2 linked regions of the Diceros bicornis minor genome follow. The protein of the gene in region 1 purifies or fractionates together with the protein of each later gene. This does not show direct contact. Links are inferred from orthologs where the notes say so. Each region holds a gene or a part of one and is shown in the gene's direction. Other genes may lie near its edges.

Region 1 (7,431 bases):
AACAGATGATCTATGTACAGGGATGTGAGAAGAAAATTAGACATTCTATATTAAATTTTTCACATTTTTAGATTTAAAAGTTTTACTAATATTCAACATACAAATAGGCATTGGCACCCTCACTCCAGCCATACATCAGACTAGCAGTTCCACCATGGGGAAGAGTGAAGGCTGGTGCCCTCAGCTGGATGCTCCCCTTCAGCACACTGCAACTTACTTGAGCATACTATATTCTACATAATAAAAGCAGACCTTTGAACAGTAGAATCTTTGTAAAGAGACAGGAAGTGACAATAACTTTCTGATTTCCTGGGTTTTCAACGGCCTAATGTTTACGAGTTAAATTTAAAGATGATAAGCAATTTTCTTCTACACAAAGAGAAGAGTTCTAGATATGCTAACCATTTATGTGATGACAGATGGCTACCAGTAGTATATGCTACCTAGCAGGTACATTCCAAAAAACAAAACACACTTTATCTTGTCAAAGTAAAGATATCACTTCAATAACGAGTGAGAGGGGCCAGCCCGATGGTGCAATGGTTAAGTTCTCAGGCTCCACTTCAGGGAGCCTGGGGTTTGGGAGCCCAGATTCCGGGTGTGGACCTACGCACTGCTCATCAAGCCATGCTGTGGCAGTGTTCCACATACAAAGTAGAGGAAGACTGGCACAGATGTTAGCTCAGGGACCACCTTCCTCAAGCAAAAAGAGGAAGATTGGCAACGGATGTTAGCTCAGGGCCAATCTTCCTCACCAAAGAAAAAAAGTTTAAAAAAAAATAAATAATGAGTGAGAAAGTAACTGCTCTTCAAAGGATACTTGTACTAAGGGGAGAACATTTTGAAAAATTATATTTGGAAATATTTCCAGTGTTACATGATTTTGTTGCTGAAATATATCTATTAAAAATACTATTTTTTCAGTCATTATCTACACAGATTATAAAAGATTTGAAAACATGGAAAGATTATTCCAGTGAATCTAAAAGTTTTCTGAACAGAGTTTTTAAAAATAGGTTTTAAAGTTAATTTTTTACATATATAAAAATCAAATACCTTCCAATTAGCAAGAATAACTGATTGAGATCAAGGAAGAAGGGAACGTCACAGCAATTTCAACACAATCCTGTGCACAACTGATGGTTGAGAACTGAAACATTAGTAATGTTGCCAACGATGCAATTCTTCCATTTGGATCTATGAATCTTTGTGAGGTATCTTTTTTTCAGTCATGACAGTCATTAAAATCAAATGTCAAAAGTAACTGAATTTGGAATCAAAACTTTGAATAGTTTATATCTAAGTGTCACATCAAGATTTATCTTAGTCATCAACACAGCACACTATAATTAATAAATCAATAAATCGGCAACAGCAAATGTATACTGGATGCTTTACTTGACATTATCATTTTTGTTAGGCATATCCCTCACCTTCAAGGAGCAGAATAAAACATAATCTTCAGATTAAATCTAGCCATAAATTATTCTGCCAACGATCCTGAGGTCAAACTGTAAAATTCAAATATCACCACCTCTGGGCCGGCCCCGTGGCTTAGCGGTTAGGTGCGCTAGCTCTGCTGCTGGCGGCCCGGGTTCAGATTGCGGGCGCGCACCGACGCACCGCTTCCCCAGCCATGCTGAGGCCGCGTCCCACATACAGCAACTAGAACGATGTGCAACTATGACATACAATTATCTACTGGGGTTTTGGGGAAAAGAAAAAAGGAGGAGGATTGGCAATAGATGTTAGCTCAGAGCTGGTCTTCCTCAGCAAAAAGAGGAGGATTAGCATGGATGTTAGCTCAGGGCTGATCTTCCTCACAAAAAAAAAAAAATTTATATATATATAAAACCACCTCTGATTTCCCATGAGGATTAAACAAAACCACACTAATTCAGGTGCCTAGCCGAGTGTCTGAAATAAATAAATGCTCAATAAACATTAACTACCCTTTCCTTGGCTTGAAGCCATGTGATTAATGAATTAAGAATTAGATAGGTTTGAATTCTCATTGTACCACTTGCTAGTTGTGTGACTTGGGGCAAATTATTTAACTCCATCTGTAAAATGGAAATAACACCCCACCTTATAGATCATTAAAAGAAAAGTCATTAAAGAATAATGCATAAAGCCATTCAACCCACAAAAGACAATTAATAAATGTCCAACATTCCTCCTTCAAGATAGCCTATTCATAACTGTACCAAAAGTATAGATTTATGGGTGGTTGAATTAAAAAAAAAAATCCATCAGAATCCCTATCTTCTAGTAAGAATTACAGCCATACAGTACCCTAACACCCGTGCCCGGCAAGGAGTGTACACTCCATTAATGTTTATTGAATTCAGGTGAATTATGTGCACTGTCACTTGGCTAACTGTGGCAGCCAGGGCTAGCCTGATGTGGGACTAGGTCTTTCTGCTACTCAAACCAGGGTTCTTTCCACTATCCTGTGTACCCTCTCTCGTTTAAGTCATCTACTTACTGATAAAATTATATGCTTATTCATATTGGTACAAGTTAAAGGTCATAATGAGGTGTTACCATAATTTGAGTTTTTTAGGTTTCTATGGCTAAGGAAGTCACTACTCTGTTAAAAATGCTCTTACATAAAAGGAAAAAAAACACTTAAGCTTCTTCCTTAAATCAGGAAGAAAACAAGGTTTCCTTTCGTTTGGCACAACTATCATAGGAAAGTCACCTATGTTTATGATTTCCTAAATGTAAACTGTGTAGGAATGTTTTTAGGATAGCAAAATTCTAGAAAGGTACAAACCAATTCAAACCGTAAGCAGCAAACGCTAGTGCAATAAATAAAGCCACTCTATTCTTGTCAAACTCAGAGCTGAATATACTTTAAGCAAAACACTATGCATTGAACATACAAATGCAGGTACAACTGTACGCGGCGCGTTGAAATACACATGAAGCACCTGTAAGACACAATGAGTCAACCCACAGCTCTGGAGGATAAATAGATAACAGGTTTTAAAATGTCTGAAAATTGCAGCTTCAGTGCTTTCGCAACACCTGCGTTTACGATCTGTCACGTGAAGCAAACAGGCATAATTAAACGGCACTACTAGGGCCACAACCATTCCCAGGCTGGCCTTGTTAACCTATCGTCAAGTAAAAGCAGGCAAACCGGCAGAGGCCTGCACCTAACTTTCTTCCAGATGGCAAACGCTGTCACGGGACCGCGGCGTTCGAGTAGCCAACCCAAAATAAATAAAGGAGTAACTGGGAATTCTGACATCCCCAAAGGCCCTCCTCATCCTTAATCTTTCCGGAGTGTCATCGCATGAAACGGGGTTTGTATGCCACAGAACCCCGCGACCCCTCCTGCCCCGAGGGGCAGCACTGGTCACCTCCTCCGATGGACCCCTTCCGGCCAGCTTCCAGACCCCAAACCACTGACTCAACCCATTCGCATAGTGCAGACTTCACTACCTCTGTTCAGTTTCCGCAGCACGTGATTTGGGGGCGCAAACTTGCTAGAAACAGATTTAACAAGACTTGAACCCATTTCTCTGAGCCCTGCCACACTTGGATTCAAACAATTCCCAGGGAACGTCACCAGTCTTAGATGACACTCGTTCAAATCGCCCGAGGAGGGGAGCGAGTCCCGCCCGGCTGGCCGCCGGCAGCTCTTACCCATTTGTCCAAGGGGACCTGGGCGAGGGACCCGGTGCCCTGGTACAGGTCCAGGCTGAGCTGCTCCAGGCTCAGCTTCTCCTGCAGGAAGTGGCCCAGGTACCTCTGCAGGAGGTACCGACAGGCCCTCTTCTTGATGGACTCTGAAAACGGCCAAGGCATGATGAGGGCTGGCAGCTGGGCCGGCGGGGGCTGCGGCTCTGGCCTTGGGGGCGCAGGCTCGGCTCCAGGCCGCGGCGGCGGTGCCTCGGGTCCCGGCCGGCGTCCCCAGACCGCGGCGGGGCCTAAGCCCGAGGTGGCCCCTCCATGCCCTCAAGGCGCCAGGCGTCCCTCAGGGCGACCCCATCGCCTGCGCCGCCCGCGCTAGGCCTGGCGGGGACAAGGCGGAGGACTTCCCGTCGCCCCAGGCCCGGGGGCTTCCGCGGGGGTCCTAGTGGGCACAGGCAAAAGGTGCGAGAGAGGGCGCTGAGACGCGGCAGGGGCTGAGGGGGACACCTCCACCACCGCGGCGCAAAGAATTTGTTGTCATCCGCCAGGCGCGCTCCCGGCTCTGGGGACGCTCCCGGCGCGCGACCCCGCGCTGGCGGAAGTGACGCCACACTGGGGGTCGGGGGGGCGGGGAGAAGGGCCCGGAGGGGAGCAGTTCCGGCTCCGAGGGGGCGGGGCGAAGGCGGAGGAGAGGGCGCGGCGCCGGGTCCGCTCCAGACACGTCGGGAGGGCGGAAGAAGAAGACAGCGGTTGCGCACAGGTGAGCGGCCGGGGCGGGGGTGACCGCGGGCTTGCGGGCGGGCGGCCGCTGAGAGGGCTCGGGGGCGGGCCAGGGGCCCTCTGAGCGGGACGCGGCGCAGCGGCCGGGCCGTGAGGGGCGACGGCGGAAGGGGCCCGTGCGGCGGCCGAGAGGAGTCTGGGGGCGGGTCCGGCCTGGGCCGTCCCGGTCACCTTAGACCCCGACCCCGGAAACGGGCGCTCGGAGCGCCGCGGGGAAGCTGCAGCCGCCCTCGAGCATCCCCGCCCGCCCCCCGAGTATTGACCGGTGCCCACTGTCGGCAAGTTATTGGTCCCCTGCCTCGTTCAGGTATTGTCTCCAAAGCTTCGTTTCGTTACTGTGTGTCTAGTGGCTTGCAGTTCAGAGGGCGCTTTCTTCATCCTGGGTGGGCTGCACCAAGACCAGGAAACTTGAGTTTTCGAGGCATTTGTGGGCAGAACTGCCTTCTCTGATCCGTGCCAAAGCCTCCCGACCCCTGAGAAACCTGAGCGAAGTGTTTGTGCTGTTCTGGGAATCTGCGCAATCGTATTTCTGCCTTTTAGGAGACAACAACTGCAGGGGCGGAGCTGGCTCTTCACTCAGTCAACCCGAAAAGGCCTGCGTGCGGGTGCTCAGCGGCCTGGAAGCCTTCTGTCCTGGGTCAGAATCCTGACCCTGGCATTTATTAGCCGAGCCGCCTTGAACCGGCCACTGCCCTCTCTGAGCCTTTGCCAAGTGTGAGCGTGTTAATATCTTATCTCCGAGAATTGTGATGAAGCTTAAATGATAAGAGTAGGGAACGAACCTAAGCAGAGTCCTGATAACGTATAGTTTAATTTAGGATGGTAAATGAAGACGACCTGTTTAAGGAGATTTTGTTTAGATGTTGATAACTTTCATGAATGCCTTAGGATTACTAACACAGAGCAGAAATGTCGACAGAGAAAGCTCTGGTTCCCCTTTCCACAACCACTTTTTCATTTTAGAACCAGTGTGCTCTCCAGTGTATGTAGTTGCTTGGATTGTTGCTGCCCCTCATTCTTCGTAGACTTGTCCCAAGCATTCTCGGTAACTTCAATTCCCTTGCTCTTCATTTATTCAAAAATATTTGTTAAGGATCCGTTAAATAAAAGTCTCCACAACTGGTGATGTGAAAATGTAAAGAATCAGGCAGAACCTTCAAGGAGCTTATGTTCTAGAGTGAAAAGTCGATTCCTTTATTCAATAAATATTTATTGATTGCCTGCATGTGCCACGGACTGTTCTAGGTGTGGGGATACAGCAGTGAACAGATTAAGTTCCTGCCCTCCTGGAGCTTGTATTTTATTGAAGGGAGGAAAAACAAACAATAATCAAATAAATCATATGCCTTGTGCTGGTAAGTGCCATAGGGACAAATAAAGCAATATAAAGGAAATGGAGAGGGGAAGATTTGCCACTTTTATATAGAGGGGTAAGGAAAGACCTCTCTTATTTAATAGGGTGACATTTTAGCAGAGACTTGGAGAAAGCTGGGGAGCAAGGTACATGAGTACCTGGAAGAGTTGTTTTCCAGGCAGGGGGAACAGCAAGTGCAAGGCCCTATGGCAAGAGCATGCTTGGTGAGTTCAAGAAACACCAGGAGGGAGTAAAGGAAAGAGGAGGAGACAGGGGGTGAGGGGTTGTCAAGTCATGCCAGGCCTGTAGACCATTATAAGGACTTCGGCCATTACCCTGGGTGAATGGGGTCGAGGAGACAAGTGACAATCTGACCTCTAACTGCTGTGTTGAGAATAAGACTCGTGTGGGGGTGGGAGGACCAGAAGAAGGATATTGCAGATCAGTTAGAAGGATATTGCCATAATCCAGGCAAAAGATGACAGAAGGATATTGCAATAATCCACGCGAAAGAAGACAGAAGGATATTGCAATAATCCAGGCAAAGGATGACAGTGGCTTGGACTAGAGTAGCAGCAGTGAAGATGGTAAGAAGCAGTTGGTAGGCAGATATATTTTGAAGATGATAAGACATGTTTGTGAATAATAATGATAATACTTGCCATAAAAGGAATATAAACAAAGTGGTATGAAAATGTGAGATCTCTTTTGGCAGGGAATTACAAAAGGCCTTGGGAGGTTTGAACTGGACTTTTGGCGGATGGGTACAGTTGACTTCTTTCAAGTCCATATGTTAAATAAGTGATTTCCCTTGGAATATAGAATTACATTCAGGCTGTCCATTGAATGCCTGAGATTTCAAATATCAGAAAAGGAAAATAAAAATTGGAACATTTTGTAACAAACATACTCCCTTCAAAGTGTTAAGTGTGTTGTCTTATATGTTTTATGCTTTCTAGAAGAAATTCAGCATATATGTTAAGGTTTAGGAGCTGTCATGATTATATCTTTAGCTTAAATAGGGTGCGAACTCACCCTAAATCACAGTGCTATTTTTGTGTTTTATCAAAGACAAAGTATTATCACAAAATGTTAACAGCATTAATTAAGTGAGGAAGGTGAAGATAATTTCCAATCAAACTGTCAACTTTTTCAGAATTTTGTGAAAGGATTTGAAGTGACAGGTTAGAAGCTATATACTAGAGGCTGGATGGGCCATCCTTCAAAGAAATCCATGTTTATATGTGAAATCAAAGCCGATAAGATGATGTTGGCACTTTTTTTTTAAGACTTGCACCTGAGGTAACAGGAATATGATGTTAGGGCTCCCAGACTGCACAGCTCTTGGGGTCGCACAAGGCAGCAGCACAGTCACCCTACGTAACATAAAAACACCGAATTTAGTCAAACTGCTTGAGTTTCAGGATCAGCTCTTTTCTTCTTTAAAGATGTTTTTAAACACTTTATTTTTAATATATAATAATAGATAATATTTCTTGAGCTTACCGTGTGCCCAACACCATACTAAGCCGTACTGACCACTTCTTGTTCATGCTGAGAGAGTTTTCCAGACCATGATGTATGATACGAATAAAAGTAACCATGATTAAGATACTGCTTTCTGGCCCTCAGCTGACTGTCGTATTGTCAAC
Region 2 (7,744 bases), on another chromosome or scaffold:
GAGGGGTGCCACCCATAGGCCACAAATCTCTACAAGTGCCTGCTGTCCCTCTCCCGCTGCCCACCCCAGCACCAGTCCAACCCTTTCACCCCCAGCTGCTCCTAGGACTAGCCCATAGGCAGGGGGGTAGGGGGGGTGGGAAAGGGGTGCCCTGAAACCAAACTGGAAGCCCCCTCTGCCTCCCACCTGGGGCCCCTGGGGTGGGGGTCTGTTGTCAAGCCTTATTCTGTATTAGGGATGGAGGGTGGGGGGGAGGGAAGTTGGGGGCTGCTGGAGAATGTATTCAAAACAATAAAACTTTGGACCTTTGGATGCAGTGATCTGTCCTGGGTCCTGGGTGCTGGGTGCAGCTGCCACAAGGCCACAGCTTTCGCATGATTCTGAAGGACGGGCCCCAAATGGCCCCCCGTGGATCTATGGCCAGACAGCCTAACTGCCTCGGAATGAGGCAAATTCAGGCTTGGGAAATGCTCTCCCAACCTCGGGGGCACATAGCCTAGCCCCCATGGGCCTGATGAGTAAGGTCCCAGGCACACTCGTCCTCTCTGACTGCTCCCCTATTCCATGGGGATCTGCGCGTCCTTGGAAGCACTTTAGGCTCGTCACCACCACACCACTGTCCTTGCTCTTCTGATTGCCTGCAATACCTTTCCTCTCGCTCTGAGTTCCTACCCAGGACCCCAGACTCTGCTAAAGGCCTGAAACTCCTTTTGGACCACCCCTAGTAGCGTGCCACACATCATTTTTAGGGCGCTTCTGAGTTCATTTGGGACTCCTTTGGCGACAGGCCTGCACTGTCTCTTGAAATGTAGACTTTGCAAGGTCTTCCTATGGAACCATGGGAACACCCTCTGCCAGCAAGTTGGGAAGGGCCTAGCTTAATCCTGGTTGCTATTGATTGAGCTACTGTGAGCCAAGTACCTAGTACCTAGTTAGGAGCTGCAGTGCTTTATCTCCAACATCCAGCAAGGTAGGGGCAAGTGCCTCAGTGAAATGACTTGCCCAAGGCCCTAAGCCCAGCCAGGATGGGCTTAAATGAGGTCTGTCTCTGAAGCCCGTGTTCTTTCAACAACCCCTAAAAGCCGGGATGGTTGGATGTAGACCAGGGTCTCAAGATCATAGGATCTGAGTGGTGAGCTCATAAAGCTAGAAGCCCAGGTTGGAGAGTTCGAGTCAGGGATGAGAGAGTCAGAAGGAGGAATCCAGGCATGAAGTGCCCTTACAGACAGCTCAACCCTTTCAGTGCAGGTGAGGAGCCTGAGGCCCAGAGAGGGGAAGGAGTTGCCCCAAGGTCACACAGCTGCTAAGAGAGTGGGAATTGAGGGCTCAGGGCCTGTTGAACAGGCTGCACATGAAACCCCACCCTGTGCAACTCTGAGGGGAAAGAAACTGGCAACTCTTATCCACTCGATTCATCTTCACTTCATGCCAGCCCAGGGTGGGTGGTCCCAGATGATGTCTGTTGGCAGTGAAGAGAGGATCCAGGGCTGGGGTACTGGCAGGAAACCTAAGCTCCAGAGGCGGCCTGTGGGCAACTGCTCCCTCTCCTGGGTGATGTAAGGCACTCCCTGGGGTGGGGGCCACTGGGCTATTTCTGGAAGTTGGGATGAGGCATGTTTCTTGGCAACATAGATGCAGCTGAGTTGGTGGCGGTGTGATGGAGAAAGGGGGATGTCATCACTGTGGGGAGGGGGAGGACCCTGACTAGTCTCAGCCTCTGATGCCAGTGCCTTCAAAGCACCTCTAACCAGGTCTAATATGGACTCAAAAAGTGCTCAGCTCCAGAACTGCTCTCCAGGTCAGACCACAGCCCACCCAGACTTGCTGCCCCAAATTCTGGCTGAGTGGGATGTCACTGGTGCCATCTGGTCTTGAAAACACCAGCGGCTCCTCTAATCTTTAATGACGCACTTAAATCTATTCACAGTTCCTGTAAGACCACACCCTTGCTCCCTTCCACATCCTCCGGGATCTCTGAGTCCAAGTAGAAAGCCCTTCGTAGATCTCACACGACTTCACCAACTAATTCATCCCATCAGAGACCCCCTTCAAACCTATAACCCCCAGCACCCTCACACACCCCCAAACCTCCTTCCTGATGCTACTCAACCATCCCTCACCCCTTCAGGTCCCTCAGAGATCCCCTCAGTCACCAGTAGTTTCTGAGTGTCCCATAGACCTTTTAAAGACACCCTAAGTCCCCTGACTTCTCTACTGGTCCCCAGTAAGATCCCTTCACCTCTCCACGGACTCCCCTGAGCACCTTCAGATACCCATAGGCCCCTCAGAGACACTTAGAACCCACCCTAGCACTCCTCCACAAACGTTCTCAGCCCCTACAAACATCCTGGTAAGATCCCCTGAGACGGTCGCCCTCAGACTCCCACGGATCCCAATCCCTTCGCGGCGGTTGCCCACGCGTGGCCCATTGCGCATGTCCCACGGGTTCTGGCCGTTAAGTAACGGCCAGTTAAGTAACGCTGCGCTGCCTGCCCTTGTGGGCCTTCTTGGTCCGGTGTACGATTCCCCAGGCTTTGGAGCTTCTCTCAGATTTTTGCTTTTCGACTCCGAGCTGCCATCAGAGGGCAGCAGGCACCGGTTGGCTGAGAAACTACAATTCCCAGAAAGACTCGCTCCGGGCTGTGCGTGATGCAGCCACATTCATTGAGAAGGGAGCGGAAGTGTGTCCGCGCTTTGCCTTCTGGTTAATGTAGTCTGAAAAGGTTTTAGCGCTGCCTTCTGTCGCGTGTCTACGTCCGCTGGGAATTGCAGTCAGGAACAGAATGAGTGGAGACTTTCTTCAGGCTTCAGAAAGCCCAGACAGGGCGCCGCCCCAGTGGCATAGCGGTTAAGTGCGGCGGCTCCGCTTCAGCAGCCAGGCGTTCGCAGGTTCGGATCCCAGGCGGGCACACAGGAATGCTTGTCAAAACATGCTGTGGCGGCGTCCCATATAAAGTAGAGGAATATGGGCACAGATGTTAGCCCAGGGGGAATCTTTCTCAGCAAAAAGAGGAGGATTGGCATCAGATGTTAGCTCAGAGCTAATCTTCCTCACCAGAATAAACAACAAAAACAGCAGACAGTATGAACACAGGTTGAGATTAAAGTCTGGAGACTCCATTTCCCATCATTCCGCGAGGCGGGAGGGGCTGAGGGTGATTTTATTCCAGTTCCACGTACTTCCGGGACACACACACACACACACACACACACACACACACACACACACACACACACACACGAACTCTGTTTCCCAGCGTCCTTTGGGGCTACTGTCCTTCCGGATATTAATCGGTAAATGGGGCGACGTAATGCGTGCACAAAACCCGAGGCTACTCCTAGCCGCCGGCTTCCTTGTTTTGGTCCCTCCAGGATCCTGTAACTAGGAAGAGAGAGAACGCAAAAAACTGAATGGGGGTTCAAGACAAATTGTATTTTCATCTTTTTTAACGCTTGGCTCAGCCTCCTGGTACAACCCACATTGCTAGAAAAAACTAGACTGTATCCGAAGACTATAGTGTTCTGAGAAACCGCGGGAAACTGTTTCCCAAATCGTTTGCGGGGTGTTTTTCCTTTCCGATTTGGGGAAACTTGGAACTGGAAGGAGTGTTTGGACTTCATTTTCCAGCAGCCCCTGACTGATTTCGGCTCTTCCTTGGGACCTGGGGGCGGGGAAGAAGTGTTTGAAACACTCTTCAGTCTCCCCAGGGTACTGCCGTCTTTCACCTTTCGCTCACGCTCTCCCGAGGGTTCCCATTGGACTCCACTTCCCGGCAAGCCTCTGCAGTCTCGCCTCACAAAGGCTCAGGATCCGGTCTGGACTGTTCCCCAGCATGTTTCAAGCTCATGGTAGATCCCTCCCCTTCAGTCAAAGGGGAGGCTGCCTTGAACTCCATTTCCCAGAAGACAGAAGGGTTCTCCGTAGCAACGGCTCGGAAGTCGTGGTGTTGACTACATTTCCCAGCAGGGACTGCGGCCTAGCGTGCGAGGGAGGAGGAGCGCTGTACCTACTCCATTTCCTAGCCTATCTCTGGAACTGCAGTATCCCCTTGGGGGGTGGGGGGTGGGGGGTGGGGGGTGGGAGTGGGGGGGCTCAGGGATCACAGGGGACTCCATTTCCCGGCGTGCTTTGGGAGTCGCTTTACACCTGCAATGCGGTGAGGGCGTGGCGACGAATCCATTTCCCGGCTTGCCTCACAGCCCGATATCTGCGGGTCTACAGGCGCTGACTCAATTTCCCAGAGAGCACCTGGCGCCGGTCATGGCGCCGGTCAGCATACATAGCCAATAGACTAAGTAAGCGACCTGACTCCGTTTCCCGGCGTGCATCAGACCTACATAGCTCACTGATGGTGTGGCTCCGACTACGTTTCTGAGGCACACCTAAGGGCTCGTCGTTGCCGCAATGGAGTGAGTGTGCGACTCTGACTCTGCTTCCCAAAGTGCTTCGGGGTCCGCTATCGGCACAATCGGCCGACTTATTGCCCAGGACTCTATTTCCCGACGTGCAGCGCGACCCATCATCCCCGCGGTTTACTCTGAGGCCTTGGCGGACTCCATTTCCCAGCGTGCCTCGCGGCGCTCCGTGCGCGCCGAGGGCGGCGACCGCGGCGCGGAGGGCAGGCGGACTGCATCTCCCGGCGTGCCCCGCGGCGGGCGCTGGGCCGGAGCCGGAGCCCGAGCGGCGCGGCCTGGAAGAGGCCGGAGCCCGGGGGAGGCGGCGGCGGCGGCGGCAGCGGCGGCTGGGGCAGCCCGGGCAGCCCGAGCCCCGCGGCCTGGGCCTGCGCTCGGCGCCATGAGCGGCGGCGCGCCTTCGGGGGGCGGCCCTGGGGGCTCGGGCCGGGCGCGAACCAGCTCGTTCGCTGAGCCAGGCGGCGGAGGCGGCGGCGGCGGTGGCGGCCCCGGAGGCTCGGCCTCCGGCCCGGGCGGCAGCGGCGGCGGGAAGACGTCAGTCGGAGCCATGGGTGGGGGCGTGGGGGCCTCGAGCTCCGGAGGTGGCCCCAGCGGCAGCGGCGGAGGAGGCAGCGGCGGCCCCGGCGCGGGTACCAGCTTCCCGCCGCCAGGAGTGAAGCTGGGCCGTGAGTACTAGCGGCGCCCGTGAGGGGTGGAGGTTAGGGTTCCTGAAGCCCCTCAAACGTCGATTAGCTTCTTCCTTATGCCAAGATAGGAGCTCTGGGTCGCTGTGCCTCCCAAAACTGGGAGTTGAGCTCTCCGCCTCCCGGAGAAAGGGATTTGGGGGATTACCATCACTTGGAGTTTAGAATTAGAATTATTAACTCTAAAAGAAATAGGGATTACAGGTTTCTCTTCTTCCAGTACCAAGGTCTTGGGTCCTTGAGCCGTAAAAACAGGGATCTGACATTGCCATCCATTAGAGAACAGGATCAGGGGTCATCGTCGCTTGCAAATAGGGCTGAAGGATTATTGTTCCCAAAGAAAACAAGAATAAGATCACCACCACCACCACCCAAAAAGGGGGATCTGAATTTGCTTCCCTTTAGAGAAGGGGAATTTGGGGTTACTGTGTCCCCAAAGAGCAGGGCCAGGGCTTTCCAAACTTGCTACCCAGCTCGTCTTCCCTTTTAAAACACAAGCTTTAGTATCATTACCCGTCTATAATATGTACAACTGTATCCCCATTGGTGGAAATTAATGGTTGCTGCTTCTTAGAGATAAGGACAGATTGGGAGTCAGCATACCCTTCAGACCAAGTTCATAGTCATTGTTCTTCAAAAAACTATGACTTGGTGGGTCTCCTTTCACAAAAATGGAATGGGGGTTGGGGAGGGTCATAGTTCTGCATAGAATATAAATCTGAGATTATATATCTCTTTCATTGTTCTGAGGTATGGTATCATTGGCTCTGGAAAAATAGCTATGTAGGATCATCTCCCTCCAAAAGAAGGTGTCACTGGCCCCTCAAAATGGATTTGATTCATCAGTGACCCCTTTTCTTTGGGGAACCTTTCATCAGTTCGCTGAAGAAAAGGGGTCACCATCCCCTGAGAATGCCACCAAAGTTCACTGCCATTTGGAAAATGGAATGGGGAATTCTAGCTTTCCTTCAAAGGACTGAGGCTGAGTTAGCTCCCTGATAATAGAGGTCAGGTTCACCATTCTCACAGTTGGCTTGCCCATTAGGGACCACCCATATACAGGAAAAGAGGTCTGGGGCTCTGGACCACACAGATGAGGAGGTCAGGTCAGTGCCTTTTCTAACCCCAAAGTATTTGGGTAAGGGTTAACTGACCCCAAAAAGTGAGTCAGGGCACTAGCACTCATAGCAGGAGGAGTCATTGATTTCTGTCACCAAAAACCAGTGGTGAAGTTACCAGCCCCACTGGGGAAGACTTAGAGGTCACTATCCCCAGAGCTGTGAGAAACATTAGTGCTTTCCCAAAGTAGAAGTACCTCAGGGTTTCCGCTCTCAAGTGGAAGAGGTTAGGTCAGGCTTTCCCCAGTCAGGAGGGGCCAGAGGGCAGTGAGCTGAGTAGATGGATTCAACATCTGGGAGAGTCAGTATCTCCTCAAACCAAGAGGGACCAGTGGTTTACTGCTTACTAAAAGTGGAAATTAGGGGTTACCAATCCTTGAACGGCAAGAGATTTAGGTGTCAGTATTCTCCCATATGGGAGGAGGCAGGATTCCCCTGAAGGGAAGAGGGGAAAGGGCACTGGTCCTCAAAAGCAAGGAAGGGACAAAGAGGCCCCCAGTAGAGATTCCCCTTCCTCTCACAGCCCCACGATGGGGTGGTGGCCAGAGGGGAAAAGTCAATGGATTGTGTGTCCCCTTTGTTGTTCCCCAGGTGACAGCGGGAAGGTGACCACAGTGGTAGCCACTCTAGGCCAAGGCCCAGAGCGGTCCCAGGAGGTGGCTTACACAGACATCAAAGTGATTGGCAATGGCTCATTTGGGGTCGTGTACCAGGCACGGCTGGCAGAGACCAGGGAACTGGTGGCTATCAAGAAGGTTCTCCAGGACAAGAGGTTCAAGGTAGCTTGCAGGGAATGGGGACAAGGAGGTTTGACTGGGCCTGACTGGTGAGAGAGCCCCAGTGAGAGTGCTGGACTTGGGGTTCCCTGGGGGATCTGAGCATGGGCCAGAGGGGAATGGAGAAAGCAGAGAGTGAGTTGTGTGGAAGATGGGATGTGGGTTCCAGGAGAGCCCAGAGTTGACAGTGTTGGTTCTTTTGCTCTGTGTAAGTGCTTTGTAGGCAGTTCTTGTTTAATTTATGTAAAGATTCTTTGAGGGCAGGTACTGTTGTTATTTCCATTCTAAGTAAGCAGAAACTGGAAACTGAGACTCAGATAAGAGAATTGCCCGAGGTCAAGACTAGAATCTGCCCTCTAATTCCCAAGCCCTCCATCTTAACCACTAAGCTACACTTCTGCCAAGAGGAGAAAGGAAGCTGGTGGGGTTGATGAGTATGTTTGCAAGGCTGAGCTCTGCCCCAGGGACTTGGCAAGTGCAAGGTGAGCCTGTCAGCGCTCACCAAACCATGTGCCTTGGTGTGGGGCTCTGTCCCCCTCAGGAAGGGGTGCCCTGTGAGCTAGTGGAGGCCCAGGGAACTAGGAGATGGAGGAGGTGGAAGTTGAGGGATAACTGGTGTTTGAAGGACTGGCATTTTGGAGCCCAGGTTAGTCTGGATGTAGGAGAACTGAGCCTAGGCTGGGAGGGAACCAGGTCAGGGCCTGGGTCTTGGCAGTGTGTACTCTCAGGGGCAGGAGGAGCTCCAGGTGTCAGT

Evidence for each region.
Region 2: the proteins of GSKIP (region 1) and GSK3A purify together in Homo sapiens (affinity purification with mass spectrometry; 7 studies listed by BioGRID and IntAct, with this or other methods). This does not show direct contact. The link is inferred for Diceros bicornis minor from reciprocal best matches to the Homo sapiens genes GSKIP and GSK3A.

The regions. Positions count from the first base shown.
Region 1 is NC_080763.1:41,849,981-41,857,411, forward strand, and holds the start of GSKIP (GSK3B-interacting protein), read left to right. Parts: upstream 1-4,336; 5' UTR 4,337-4,405; intron 4,406-7,431. Other genes in the region: ATG2B (autophagy-related protein 2 homolog B), read right to left, coding at 3,658-3,819. UniProt on the Homo sapiens protein: A-kinase anchoring protein for GSK3B and PKA that regulates or facilitates their kinase activity towards their targets.
Region 2 is NC_080773.1:17,022,014-17,029,757, forward strand, and holds the start of GSK3A (glycogen synthase kinase-3 alpha), read left to right. Parts: upstream 1-4,710; 5' UTR 4,711-4,795; coding exon 4,796-5,078; intron 5,079-6,805; coding exon 6,806-6,993; intron 6,994-7,744. UniProt on the Homo sapiens protein: Constitutively active protein kinase that acts as a negative regulator in the hormonal control of glucose homeostasis, Wnt signaling and regulation of transcription factors and microtubules, by phosphorylating and inactivating glycogen synthase (GYS1 or GYS2), CTNNB1/beta-catenin, APC and AXIN1.